Linked DNA regions of Pelodiscus sinensis. The protein of the gene in region 3 purifies or fractionates together with the protein of the main gene of each other region. This does not show direct contact. Links are inferred from orthologs where the notes say so. Each region holds a gene or a part of one and is shown on either strand. Other genes may lie near its edges. The genes, in order: CREB1, DDX5 and SMARCA4.

The links.
Region 1: the proteins of SMARCA4 (region 3) and CREB1 purify together in Homo sapiens (affinity purification with western blotting; 3 studies listed by BioGRID, with this or other methods). This does not show direct contact. The link is inferred for Pelodiscus sinensis from reciprocal best matches to the Homo sapiens genes SMARCA4 and CREB1.
Region 2: the proteins of SMARCA4 (region 3) and DDX5 purify together in Homo sapiens (affinity purification with western blotting; 3 studies listed by BioGRID and IntAct, with this or other methods). This does not show direct contact. The link is inferred for Pelodiscus sinensis from reciprocal best matches to the Homo sapiens genes SMARCA4 and DDX5.

The regions. Positions count from the first base shown.
Region 1 is NC_134717.1:75,875,887-75,880,058, reverse strand, and holds the start of CREB1 (cyclic AMP-responsive element-binding protein 1), read right to left. Parts: upstream 3,205-4,172; 5' UTR 3,000-3,204; intron 1-2,999.
Region 2 is NC_134730.1:20,753,058-20,757,229, forward strand, and holds the start of DDX5 (putative ATP-dependent RNA helicase DDX5), read right to left. Parts: upstream 2,712-4,172; 5' UTR 2,540-2,711; coding exon 2,514-2,539; intron 1,128-2,513; coding exon 962-1,127; intron 748-961; coding exon 651-747; intron 569-650; coding exon 435-568; intron 290-434; coding exon 224-289; intron 1-223. UniProt on the Homo sapiens protein: Involved in the alternative regulation of pre-mRNA splicing; its RNA helicase activity is necessary for increasing tau exon 10 inclusion and occurs in a RBM4-dependent manner. Binds to the tau pre-mRNA in the stem-loop region downstream of exon 10.
Region 3 is NW_027465894.1:296,739-300,910, reverse strand, and holds the start of SMARCA4 (SWI/SNF-related matrix-associated actin-dependent regulator of chromatin subfamily A member 4), read right to left. Parts: upstream 2,290-4,172; 5' UTR 2,119-2,289; intron 1-2,118. UniProt on the Homo sapiens protein: ATPase involved in transcriptional activation and repression of select genes by chromatin remodeling (alteration of DNA-nucleosome topology).

The DNA.
Region 1 (4,172 bases), on a different chromosome or scaffold from region 3:
CAAACCTCCCCCCCCACAAATCAGCTAACCAGAAGGGGAATGAAAAGGTTCTCATTTGCCTATTTCAGATTAAAAAAACAAAAAACAAAACAAAACAAACCCACCATCAACACATGGTACTCTAACCCTTTTTCAGTTCTCTCTCTACAGGAACGGAAGACACTCAATAATCTAGGTTATTTCCAGCTTTATAGACACAAGAACCACTGGTTAAGTTAACTGATTTCCTCCTCCCCCCACTGAAGTTTTAATTTCTTATACTGGGCGAATCTAGCCATCGACCCAGACACACTGGGTTGCTAGCATGAGTTTATATATTTAAAAAAAAAAAGTTTTGGAGGGAAGAGATAAGCCACACAAACTTCATAAAAACCACATAATTTTTAAAGTTTTAAACCTACTATAGGATTCACAAAGGTGCTGGAATCCTACTCTACTTTTTAACATGGGCATGGGCCTCCAAACTAGTTCTGGGGCATTGGAAAAGCAGCTCCAGGATGGAAGCTGATAAATCGGGAGGGCCATGTTCCCACCAACTGCCTCCCCTCACTCCCACTCCTGGCTCCAGCACCACTGTATGTATCATTAATCCCAAAAAATTGAAAACATTGTGCCTTTAAATTAGATGAAAAGACTGTGCAAGATGCAGAATCCTAGAAGTTGAAGGAAGGAAGTGTACAACAGCAAGTGGAAAAACAAAACAAAAATTAAGAATTTCTAGTATGGATACTGAAGCTGCAGGGAATAAAAAACTAGAATGGCAATGATGGGGGTAAGATACCTAAAATATTTTTCAGAATTGTGTAATGTGGTATATATATCAAATATAAAACAGGATAATGGAATAATACAGTTTTAGTACAGGTGCAACCCAACTATCATTGTGTCTGCAGCATTCTCATTTAAGAAACCTGCAGGTTAGTTGCAAGACTGACCACTGTATCAAAATTTCCTACAGTTACACTTATGGGGAAATTCATTTTTAGTATTGAAGTATTAACAAGATTACATCTTCCTACTGCTACATACCAGGAGTAGGGTGCAGAGATCTGTATCTTGATTATTAGCTTCTCTGCACTATTTCAATTGAACTGCCATGAAAAGCAATGCTTTGGGAGACCTGGACAGTTTCTTCTGAACATGTGCATACCCCATTTTAAAAAGAGCCCATCAAATCAAGTCTGCCCCAGAATAAACTCTTGAAAAGCTTTTATTGGAAACCCCCCCCCCTCCCCCCGCCACTAGTCCTGTAACAAACTAAAATACTACATACGTTTCTACATAGTTTAGTTACAATTCCTTTAACCAGATATTACCGGACCAGTACCATATCAGTCAGAAAATGAAATCGACGATAAATGAGTGAAACTAGGTAGGCTGTGTATTATCCAAATAGAATGGAATAAGCATAAAGAGAAGGAGCTTTTCAAATTCAGTTTTAATCCAAGATACTTGTGCAATACATGACAGTGTGTGTTAACAGAGCTGACCCTTAAGACAGGGCTGTCTGCCGCAGCACTTGGTATGCTTCAGGGAATAAAGATACACCTTTCGAGAGGTCTGTCTGACACGAATTAAAACATCGCCCCGCTCCGGGAGCTGTGACTGCGGGGGCGGCCCACTCTGGAGGGCAGGGGGAGAGAACCGCTGCGGGCCAGCTGGCCATCGGGGCGGGAATCAGGAGGAAGCGCGATTCGCGGCGCGGCGGGCTGGGAGGGCACCGAGCCGCGGCGGGGCCGGGATTAGCGGGGGCGCGGGAGCCCGGCCCGGGTTTCAGAGGCGGCGAGGGGCCGGAGCGGGCTGTGCGGCGGGGCCGGGATTGGCGGGGGCCCGGCCCGGGTTTCGGAGGCGGCGAGGGGCCGGAGCGGGCTGTGCGGCGGGGCCGGGATTAGCGGGGGCGCGGAGCCCGGCCCGGGTTTCAGAGGCGGCGAGGGGCCGGAGCGGGCTGTGCGGCGGGGCCGGGATTAGCGGGGGCGCGGAGCCCGGCCCGGGTTTCGGAGGCGGCGAGGGGCCGGAGCGGGCTGTGCGGCGGGGCCGGGATTAGCGGGGGCGCGGAGCCCGGCCCGGGTTTCGGAGGCGGCGAGGGGCCGGAGCGGGCTGTGCGGCGGGGCCGGGATTGGCGGGAGCCCGGCCCGGGTTTCAGAGGCGGCGAGGGGCCGGAGCGGGCTGTGCGGCGGGGCCGGGATTGGCGGGAGCCCGGCCCGGGTTTCGGAGGCGGCGAGGGGCCGGAGCGGGCTGTGCGGCGGGGCCGGGATTGGCGGGAGCCCGGCCCGGGTTTCGGAGGCGGCGAGGGGCCGGAGCGGGCTGTGCGGCGGGGCCGGGATTGGCGGGAGCCCGGCCCGGGTTTCGGAGGCGGCGAGGGGCCGGAGCGGGCTGTGCGGCGGGGCCGGGATTAGCGGGGGCGCGGAGCCCGGCCCGGGTTTCGGAGGCGGCGAGGGGCCGGAGCGGGCTGTGCGGCGGGGCCGGGATTGGCGGGAGCCCGGCCCGGGTTTCAGAGGCGGCGAGGGGCCGGAGCGGGCTGTGCGGCGGGGCCGGGATTAGCGGGGGCGCGGAGCCCGGCCCGGGTTTCGGAGGCGGCGAGGGGCCGGAGCGGGCTGTGCGGCGGGGCCGGGATTGGCGGGGGCGCGGAGCCCGGCCCGGGTTTCGGAGGCGGCGAGGGGCCGGAGCGGGCTCCGCGGCGGGGAAGGACCAGCCTGAGTGGGGGCAGCCCGGGCCAGGGGCACCAGACACGCTGCCCGGACAGCGGCTGCCGGGCTCTCCGGAGGGTCCCTGCGGCCCAGGCGGGGCCCGGCGCCGAGCTGGCAGCCAGAGCGGTCCCGCCGCCATTGCTCTTTGTTCGCCGCGCTCGGAGCGGCGGCGGCGGGGATGTTGCAGGGCTCGGCGCGGCTCCATCTTTAAAGCGGGCGCCCCTCCCGCTGGCGGTGCAGGCCGGGCCGCCTGTTGCTCCCTGCGCCCCGCCGGCTCCATCCCCCCCCGGCTGGGCGCCGTCCTCCTCTTACCGGTTACGGGCTGCTCCGTCACTGCTCTCGCTGCGCCTAGGCTCTCGCCGCAGTTTTATTCTCTCCCCCACGTAACACACCGCGTCAAACTACACCTCGGCCGCGTCACTCACACGGCTCCCCCAGCCCGGCGACAGGCAGCGGCCGACTGAGCGCCAGCCGGGGAGCGAGCGCGAGCGCGCCGCGGCCCCTCGCGGAAACTGCCGAGCGCGAGCGGACAGGGCCGAACACGCGGCGGGCACGGAAACAGCCGAGCGGCAGCGGACAAGGCCGAACACGCGGCGGGCACGGAAACAGCCGAGCGGCAGCGGAAAAGACCGAACCGCCGACCGGCTGCGGGGGTGCTCGACCAGGCACGGAAACACCCGAGCGGGAGCGGAAAAGGCCGAACACGCGGCGGTCACGGAAAGGGCCGAGCGGGAGCGGAAAAGGCCGAACCGCCGACCGGCTGCGGGGGTGCCCGACCAGGCACGGAAACAGCCGAGCGGCAGCGGAAAAGGCCGAACCGCCGACCGGCTGCGGGGGTGCCCGACCAGGCACGGAAACAGCCGAGCGGGAGCGGAAAAGGCCGAACCGCCGACCGGGCGGTTCCAGCGGATGAGAGGCTGGAGATGAGTCAGTGCCCTGTAGCCAAGAGGGCGAATGGCAGATTCGGGTGTGTGATGGGTTTGCCGGTGCAAGCCCCCCTCTCGGAGGAGTGCCCTTGGCAGCTTCTCCTCGGACTGGTGATAAATGCCGGCAATGGAGATGGATGGAGCTGTAGCACTTAGAGTTGCTAACCCACACTCCTGAGCTATAGACGTGCGGACCATTGTCCCGATTTTTCCACGACAGTCCCAAATTTAAATGCTCTGCCCCGGCTCCCCATGAAGTAGTGAAATGCCCTGGAAAGCCCTGCCAGACATTTCACTGCTCGGTGGGACACCAGCGTGCGGGAAGAAGCTCTGCCCCCTCCCATTGCTCCTCACGCGCACCGCAGCCTCCTTCCCCTTCCCCCAACAGGGCCGTAGGGCAGCTGGGCCAGCTTCCAGGAATGGGAGGCCCCTCCCTCGCTGCCCTCCCTCCCCACGCAGAACCGCCTGGTGGCCCCACCGCCTTCTCTTCTGGACTGCCTTGGAGCCCTGGTCTGGTGGCCCCACCGCCTTCTCTTCTGGACTGCCTTGGAGCCCTGGT
Region 2 (4,172 bases), on a different chromosome or scaffold from region 3:
GAAGCACACTTTGAATTCTTCAGTCTTAGAGGACAGTCTATACAATGCACCTAAGCCTGATGGACTAGCTAAAACATGAAACTGACTACTTGCAAGGTTTATAATGATGCAGCATTCAAGTGCCTAACTTTTCTACTCAATCCACATACTCCAACCCCAACAATTTGCATTTAAGAAAGCCAGATTCCTCTAAAAGAAAAGAGCTTCATATTCTTATACTCACAATAGGTCCATCTCCTCGCTCCAGGAATGGCTGATGATTTATATGCACTATAGCAGGCAACAAGTACTGTGTGAAAACAAAAACTCATGTTATACATACATATATCTAAAACACTAGGAAATGTAACTAGATTTGCAGTTTTATGTATTAGTAACACTTTGAACATGGAAATGCAGTTACATAACCTGAACATTGTAAAGTTACAACTTACGGACAAGGTTTTCCCAGATCCAGTCTGTGCTACTCCAACCATATCCAGTCCACTCAAAGCAACAGGCCATCCTTGTGCCTGAATAGCAGTTGGTTCAGTGAAATTCTGTCCCTGAATTACTTCCATAACATTTGCTGCAAAAGAGAACCAATGAATTAGATGCTTGCATTCATGATGTCTGAGTGAACCCCTGGATATACAGGTATCTGTACTCACCAGGAAAGTTAGCTTCATAGAAATTTATAAGCGGTTTTGGACAGGTATGGCCCTTCACTGTGATTTCTTTGCTTGCTCTGTACTGTTCAACCTCTTGCTGCAAAACATAATTACATTAGCATTATTTAAAGCTTTATCTAGAACAAAATTGCAAATTGACTGAAATCAGTTGTATTCAAATGAAGTGTAATAATTTCTCTAAACTTACTGATTCATATCCCACATAATAAGTCGTCAAGTAAAAAGCACATTAAGTGTCAATTCCTGCACAGATAAACAATTTTAATTAAGCAAACAGCCAAGGTACATACCACAGTGCGTCTGACTACATCAGGATGCTCTTGATAAAAATTCTTCTCAAATTTGGGCAGTTCATCTAGGTTCCATTTCTTTTTCGTAAGTTTTTCTCCAGGGTTTCCAAATTTCTTTCCAGATAATGGTCCGCCTCTGCTTCCTCCAAATCGAGGGCCACCAAACCTAAAAAATTATTAGCCATGAAAATGTTTGCAAAATGTAACAGTCTCTTATGTGACAGTTAACTCACTTCCATAGTCAGATCAATGCTAAAATTCTCAATATAGCTAATTCCTAATTTGTGTTCATCAATATTTGGAGAAAGCATTTAGCTGCCCGTTTTCACTTCCAAAGTATAATAAAAGCCACAAGCAGCAGATTAGGATTAGTCACCAAATACCTAACACCCCAGATAAAGGAGCACCTAATTTTCTAAAGCATTTAAAATGAATCGCTGGAAACAAAAACAAGGCTAGCCCTAACGCCTTGGTAACAGAAGTGACACTCCCAGTGTGCGTCAGAGATTGAAGAAAGCCAGTGTATGCCCGTGGGTGGGGCGTTATGAAATCTAGAAACATTCTCGTAAGTGGGTGCCTATGGGATGCTTTTTAATTTAAACAAGCGCAACGAATTCGGGTAAGGAAACAAAACCGGCCGCAAGACGCTGGGTCCCAAATAAAAAGCGCATCGGAGTCCCTTCGACGGAAAACGATAAAATCACCAGCGCCCCCAAATCCCGTTCAGCCGCCAAGTACGCACCCCCCATCTCACAACTGGGCCAACGGGCACCGTGAAGGGTTATTCGCCCCTCCAGGCCCCGTCCCCATCCACCCGGGCTAGGCGGCGAAGTGCCCCCGCCCCCGCGGAGAACATGGCGGAGCGGCAGCCGCGGTTTCCTTTGTTTCTCATTTCTGTCTACGCCACATTTTCCAGCCGCTGCCATTTTAGAGGCTGGGCGGGGAGGGGGAGGAACAAAGGCAGCAGCCGGCATTTTGATTTCCCCTCAGTCACCGCATGGCGGGGCCGGCCATTCACATCCGCTTACACAACACAAAGCAAGAGCCGGCCGGCTTTAGCCCCAGACGCCATCTGCCCAGGGCGGTTCCGGAGCGGGAAGGGGGCAGTTTCGGTCACCGGAGGGGCGCGTGCACGACCCGTTAAACCGCCAAACACGGTTCCGACTGCCCGAGCCACCAAACCGGGAGACCTGGAGCCCGAGCAGCGGCGGGGGGAGGGGCGCGTTCCCGAACTCCCCCCCCCCCCCCCACAACCCGGAGCCGACGATCCCCAACCGTCGAGGGCAGATTGCTCAGCCGAGTTTGTACTTCACCGGCATTCGGTCACCAGCCCCCGGGCTCGCCTACCACTCTCCCCCCCCCCCCCCAGGTGCCCCCGACTGCTGGGATCCGATGCCATCGCCCCCCACCTCCGCAGTCAGCGGCCCCTCCCGCCATTCGCGGATCGATGGAGAGGGCGCCCATCCCCGCCGCCATTTTACATGGTTCAACGGCCGGTAGAGCCGTTCGGAGGAAACACGGCGGCAAGCGCCGGCCGGGGCCCCAGACTCACCCTCTGTCCATGTCGTATCCAGGCATAGCAATGGCGGCGGCGGATGAGACGAGCCCGAGCACTGAAGCGAGAGGCAGAAGGTACGGGAAGGTCAGGGACTGCAGGCGACTCTAATGAATGGGGAGCGTCGAAGCGCCCGAACGCCGGTTATATAGCCGGCGCCCCAGGGAATGCTGGGAACCGGGTCGTGACGCGAACTCAGAACCCTTCCCTCTGTCCTGCGTCAGAGACCGAAGCAGCCGTATTCCCCTCCCCCTCCTGTGGGCGTGGCCGCGAGCGCTAGGTTCTCGACTTCTCTTTTGCTTCGCCGGCCGGTTTTTACCCTCGCAGGCGGAAGTTCCCCTTTCCACTTCGGGCGTGGCTCGCGCTACAGTCACTGCCCGGCATCCCCGCCCCCTTTCCGTTTTCCAGGCGCGTGCCCAAAGCCCTCGAGCGGCGTCCTCCCCTCCCCCTAACTTCAGCCTTTCGCGCCCACGCTTCTCAGAGCGCGAGCCGCCCGCGCCTGCGCATTCCTGGTGGTGTCATCCCCTCCCCCTCATGCTCCGTTGTTGTCATCAGAGGCCTACTGTGTCCTTTGTAGCCCCTTTATGATGGAAGAGGAGCGGGAGGGGGGCATTAACCAGCTGGGGCGCTGCACAGTCCCTCTCTCTGCCCCGAGGCTGTATAGGGGAACCAGCCCACTCTCATCAAAAGGGCATTGCCCCCAACAGCCCCAGGTTCTGACATGGCTGTTCCCTTCTCTCTCTCTCACACACACACACCTAGTAAATGTGACTCCGCAGGTGGTTCATGATCGTTGGGAGTCAGGAGCTTTGTTTTATGTAGAATCCTGGGACTGGGGCTGAAGGGGACCTTGAAAGGTCATTAGGTCCACAAACCTTCAGAGAGGCAGGATAAACCCAGATCATCCCTGACAGGTGTTTGTCCAGCTTGTTCTTGAAAGACTTTAACAGTGACAGCCCCCGGGGAAGCCTGTTCCACTGCTTAACTGCTATTTGGAATATTTTCCTGTATCTTGCTGCAGACCAAGTCCATTACTGTGTCTATGGAGAACAATTGTTCATGGTCCTCTTTCTAAGAGCCCTTTAACATATTTCAAGCCTGTATCAGGTTTCTCTGTCAGTTTTTTTCTCGGGAATAATATGCCCAGGTTTTAAAACTTTTCCTCACCGTTTTTTTAAATCTTTGTATAATTTTTATTGATCTTCTCTGGCCTTTCTCCAATTTACCTACATCTTTCCAAAAGTTTAGTACTCAGATTTAGGCACACTACTCCAGCTGATGCACCACCATTGTGAAGTAAAACAAGACAATTAACTATAGTGTTAGCTGCAACACTATTTTAATACAAATTGCAGATTTATATTAGCTTTTTTCTAACTACATCACCTTGTTAAAATGTTCAATTTGTGATCATGAGAACCCCAGATCCTTTTCAGCAGTACTACTAACTAGACAGTTCCTATTTTGTAGTTGTGCATTTAATTTTTCCTTCCTAAGTGAAATATTTGCAATGTTTTTATTGAATTTCATCTTGATTTCAGATCAATTTTCCAATTTGTAAAGGGAATTTGGAAATCGTATCCTCTAAAGTGCTTGCAACTTCTCCCAGCTTAGTGTCATTTGCAAATTGTATAAGCATATTCTCTATTATCCAAG
Region 3 (4,172 bases):
AAGATGGGAACAAGGGAAAATTTGTAAAAAATATTTAATATTATTTAGAACTAGGTATTATTAAATCTATAGTTAAAAGTCTCAGACTTCAACTATGCTTACATTTGGGTCAAGTTAACATACAGCAAAACCTCCATCATTTCAAAATATGTAGCATTTTGTAAATGTTTAATATTAAAAGATACTTTTTATATGAATGATCATCAGAAACACCACAAAAACAAGTGTGCAAGACAATGTTTAAGGAAAGTTGTTAAAAACCTATTACAGTTATACAAAATACAACAAAGAGCCTCTGCCTTAAAACAATAGACTACATTGTTAACTGATTTGTGACCATCAAAGGCAGCACAAATTTGCCCCAAAACAGGAGATGAAAGAGAACAGTTAAAACCCTCCATTAGAATATTGGGGCATCAGTAAATATTCCCTTTATTTCCAAATGATTTCTAATGAGAAGCTGTGTTACATAGAGACCCATTCATATTTAAATGTGCTTTGTGTGTCAGGAAACCATGGGGGATGCTCTGAGCAAGGGGGTGCTTATTAATAGGCTTTGAGAGCAAATCCTCTTTAAAACATCATCACCCACAAATTCATATCAATGAGCTGAGTGGAATTGAGGCAATTTTTTGCACCTCCTTTCCCCAATACATCTGACAGCGGGACTTTGCATGTGGAGCTGTCTGTGGTTATGTGCCTATTTGATGCAGCAGCTAATCCTGCTCCTTTCAACCTCCCCCCACCCCCAGCACATGAGAACCTTGGTATCTCTCCAGGAAGTCAGAGCCTGAGCAATGAAGTACTCCTAGGAGAGAGAATTTATAGACCATCCTGCAAGCACAAGTGATTGGCTTCTTCTTGTGGCTCTGTCCTGAGCAGGTGGAAAATCTGAACCTTTCCCATAATAAATATATGAATGTGTAGGGAATCCAGCCAGGATGTTGTAAGCCTGGGGGATCTAAGGCCAACCCCCTCAAATCACCAATTCTCCAAAGAAAGAGAAGGTGGAAGGAGGAGGGACCATAGCTCTTGAGAATAGAGTAGAGCAACTCCATGGGCTAGAGAAAAGAGATAGGAAAACACAATTCCTTGGGACTGGGCAGATGATGGTAGTGTGGGCAGGATCCACAAAATGAGGTACGGAAATGGGAGAGGGGGATATTGATGTGGGAACTAGTTTAAACAGGATAGAAGATACTTATGTTGAACAATAAGGAGGAAGCACCCCAGCCTAAAGAGGGAGATGCTGAGGAGTAAGGTAAGGACAGCTTTCTTGGGTGGAGTGGGATGATAGCAAGGTGGAAGCAAAGAGATTCTGGGAGAAAGGGGGCAGGAAAGAGGCTGATTAGCAAGGGGGGGGCACAACCCCTTGGTGGGGAAGTATTCTGGGAAGAAAAGAGAGGGCTGTTAATGAATTGGGGTGACTGGAAGGGTTGATGCTAAAGGATAAGGGCAGCATGTTTGAGGAGGGGCAGATGCTGATGGAGGGCCAGAGCCCCAGAACGGATGGAAACGCAAACAGGGTGCAGTACATCAGGGATGGCGTGCTCATGAAAGGAGAGGTGCTCATGGGGGCAAGTACACCAGAAATGAGATGATCACGGGGGGGGGGGGCACTGCCATCCCCTATCACCCCCCGATCCCAGGGGCATCATCTGAGCATCACCCCTCCCACATTGCCCCCCCATCCCTGGGAGGTGGGGGAAGAGGGATGCTCAGGGAGAACACTGCCCCAGGGATGGGGGCATGATGGGGCCAGTTCTCCAGAGACTGGGGGGGTGAGATACCCAGGAGGGCCAGTGATCCAGGGGTGGGGGCGGGTGAGGGGGAGCTGTGCCCCGGGGAGGGGGGCCGCGATGGGGCCAGGGCCCCGGGGATGGGGGAGGGGCGAGGGGGGAGCTGTGCCCCGGGGATGGGGGAGGGGCGCTGCTCGGGGGGGCACAGCCCACGGGGGGGGCAGGGAGGACGCTGGAAGGGTCCCCGCGCGGGGGGGCGGCCGAGCTCTCGCGCAGGGAACGTCGCGGAGGCCTCTTGACCCTGCCGGGCCGCCGTAGCCCCTCAGCCCCCCCCGCCCTTCCATTCAATGGGGCGCCGGCCCCCCCTCCCCGCGCTCACCGTGCCCGCCCCTCGCGGGGCCGCTCGCGGGCTCCATCCCCGCCGGGTCGCGTCGCGGCGGGACAAAGGAGCCGCCGCTACTGTGCGAGCGTGAGGGAGACGCGGCTCGAGCTCCCCCTAGCGCGCGCCCCCGCGGGAGGCAGCAGCAGCAGCAGCGCGCGCGCTCCCGATCCGGCTCCAGCGCGCGCGCGGGGCGGCAGCCTGGGCCAATGGGAAGGCCCCGGTGGGGCTCGCGCGCCACCGCCCGCCCCCTCCCGACCCTGCCTCGCCTTGGCGTTCGCGTCTGCGTGCCACAGCCAATCAGGGGCGTTCGCGCTCCGCCCCTCCCTCGGGCAAGGTGGGCGGCGCGCCAAGCGCCCTCCTCCACTGGGAGCACAGCTGACACGCGCCTCGACCAATGGTGTGAGAACGAGCCAAGCTAACCCCGCCCACCTTGGCGGCGCTGCAACCAATGGGCAAGTACCTCTGGCTGGTCCCTCCCCTGCCTGCGGCCGAGAGTCGTCGCGATCAGCCAATGGGAGCTAAGGAAAGCGGCTCGCGCTCACGCCTTCCAGCCTGCCGCAGCCAATGAAGCAGGGAGAAGGAAGCGTTCGAGCGGTCGTGGGCGGGGATAAGGGGGAGGGGGCGAGCTGCGTCCGCGCGTCCTTGTGGCGCGCGCTGGCGATGCGAGCCGCCTCCTCCTCCCAACCGGCTGGAAACCGCCGCCGCGGCCACGCATGCGCATTGCGGGCGCCACTGCGGCGAAGGGGAGGGAACTTCGAAGGCGGAGGGGATGGGCAGGGGAAAATGAGGGGAGGGGAGGGGCTCAGGAAGGGGGCTCAGGAGGGGGAGGGGGTTGAGGGGAGGGGCTCAGGAGGGGGGTTCAGGAGGGGGAGGGGCTCAGGAGGGGGACGGGGTTGAGGGGAGGGGCTCAGTAAGGGGGCTCAGGAGGGGGAGGGGGTTGAGGGGAGGGGCTCAGGAGGGGGGTTCAGGAGGGGGAGGGGCTCAGGAGGGGGGTTCAGGAGGGGGAGGGGCTCAGGAGGGGGAGGGGCTCAGGAGGGGGACGGGGTTGAGGGGAGGGGCTCAGTAAGGGGGCTCAGGAGGGGGAGGGGGTTGAGGGAGGGGCTCAGGAAGGGGGCTCAGGAGGGGGAGGGGGTTGAGGGGAGGGGCTCAGGAAGGGGGCTCAGGAGGGGGAGGGGGTTGAGGGGAGGGGCTCAGGAAGGGGGCTCAGGAGGGGGAGGGGGTTGAGGGGAGGGGCTCAGGAAGGGGGCTCAGGAGGGGGAGGGGGTTGAGGGGAGGGGCTCAGGAAGGGGGCTCAGGAGGGGGAGGGGGTTGAGGGGAGGGGGTTGAGGGGAGGGGCTCAGGAGGGGGAGGGGGTTGAGGGGAGGGGCTCAGGAGGGGGGTTCAGGAGGGGGAGGGGGTTGAGGGGAGGGGCTCAGGAAGGGGGCTCAGGAGGGGGAGGGGGTTGAGGGGAGGGGCTCAGGAAGGGGGTTCTGGAGGGGGAGGGGGTTGAGGGGAGGGGCTCAGGAGGGGGAGGGGGTTGAGGGGAGGGGCTCAGTAAGGGGGTTCAGGAGGGGGAGGGGGTTGAGGGGAGGGGCTCAGGAAGAAGGGGGGCTCAGGGAGCCCTTAAGGGGAGAGAGCTCAGAAGGGGAAGGGCTGAGGAGGGGGGCCATAGGAGGGGAAAGGGGGTTCAGGGGGAAAGGAGAATAAGGGGCTGATGGGCAGGGAAAGCTGAGGGCACAGGAAAGGGAGGGTCTGGGGGAGGAGGAAGGGGGCTCAGGAGGTGGGGGAGGAGAATGGGGGGCTGATGGGCAGGGAAAGCTAAGGGGGCTCATGAGGAAGAGGGGACAGTGGCCAAGGAATGATGGAGGAAGCCGGTGGGATGGGGGCTGAATGCTGATAGGAAGGGCATGATGAGACAGGAGCTGGCGGTTCTCCTGGGGCAGGCACTGGCAATGTAGGCTAGTGAGTGGGCCACACAAGTGGGCTGCAAGATTGTTTAACCAAGATGGTCTCCCAGCACTTTTGCTAACTGCGTACCTAGAATTTAGGAGGTGTGCCGAATGAACCGCAGC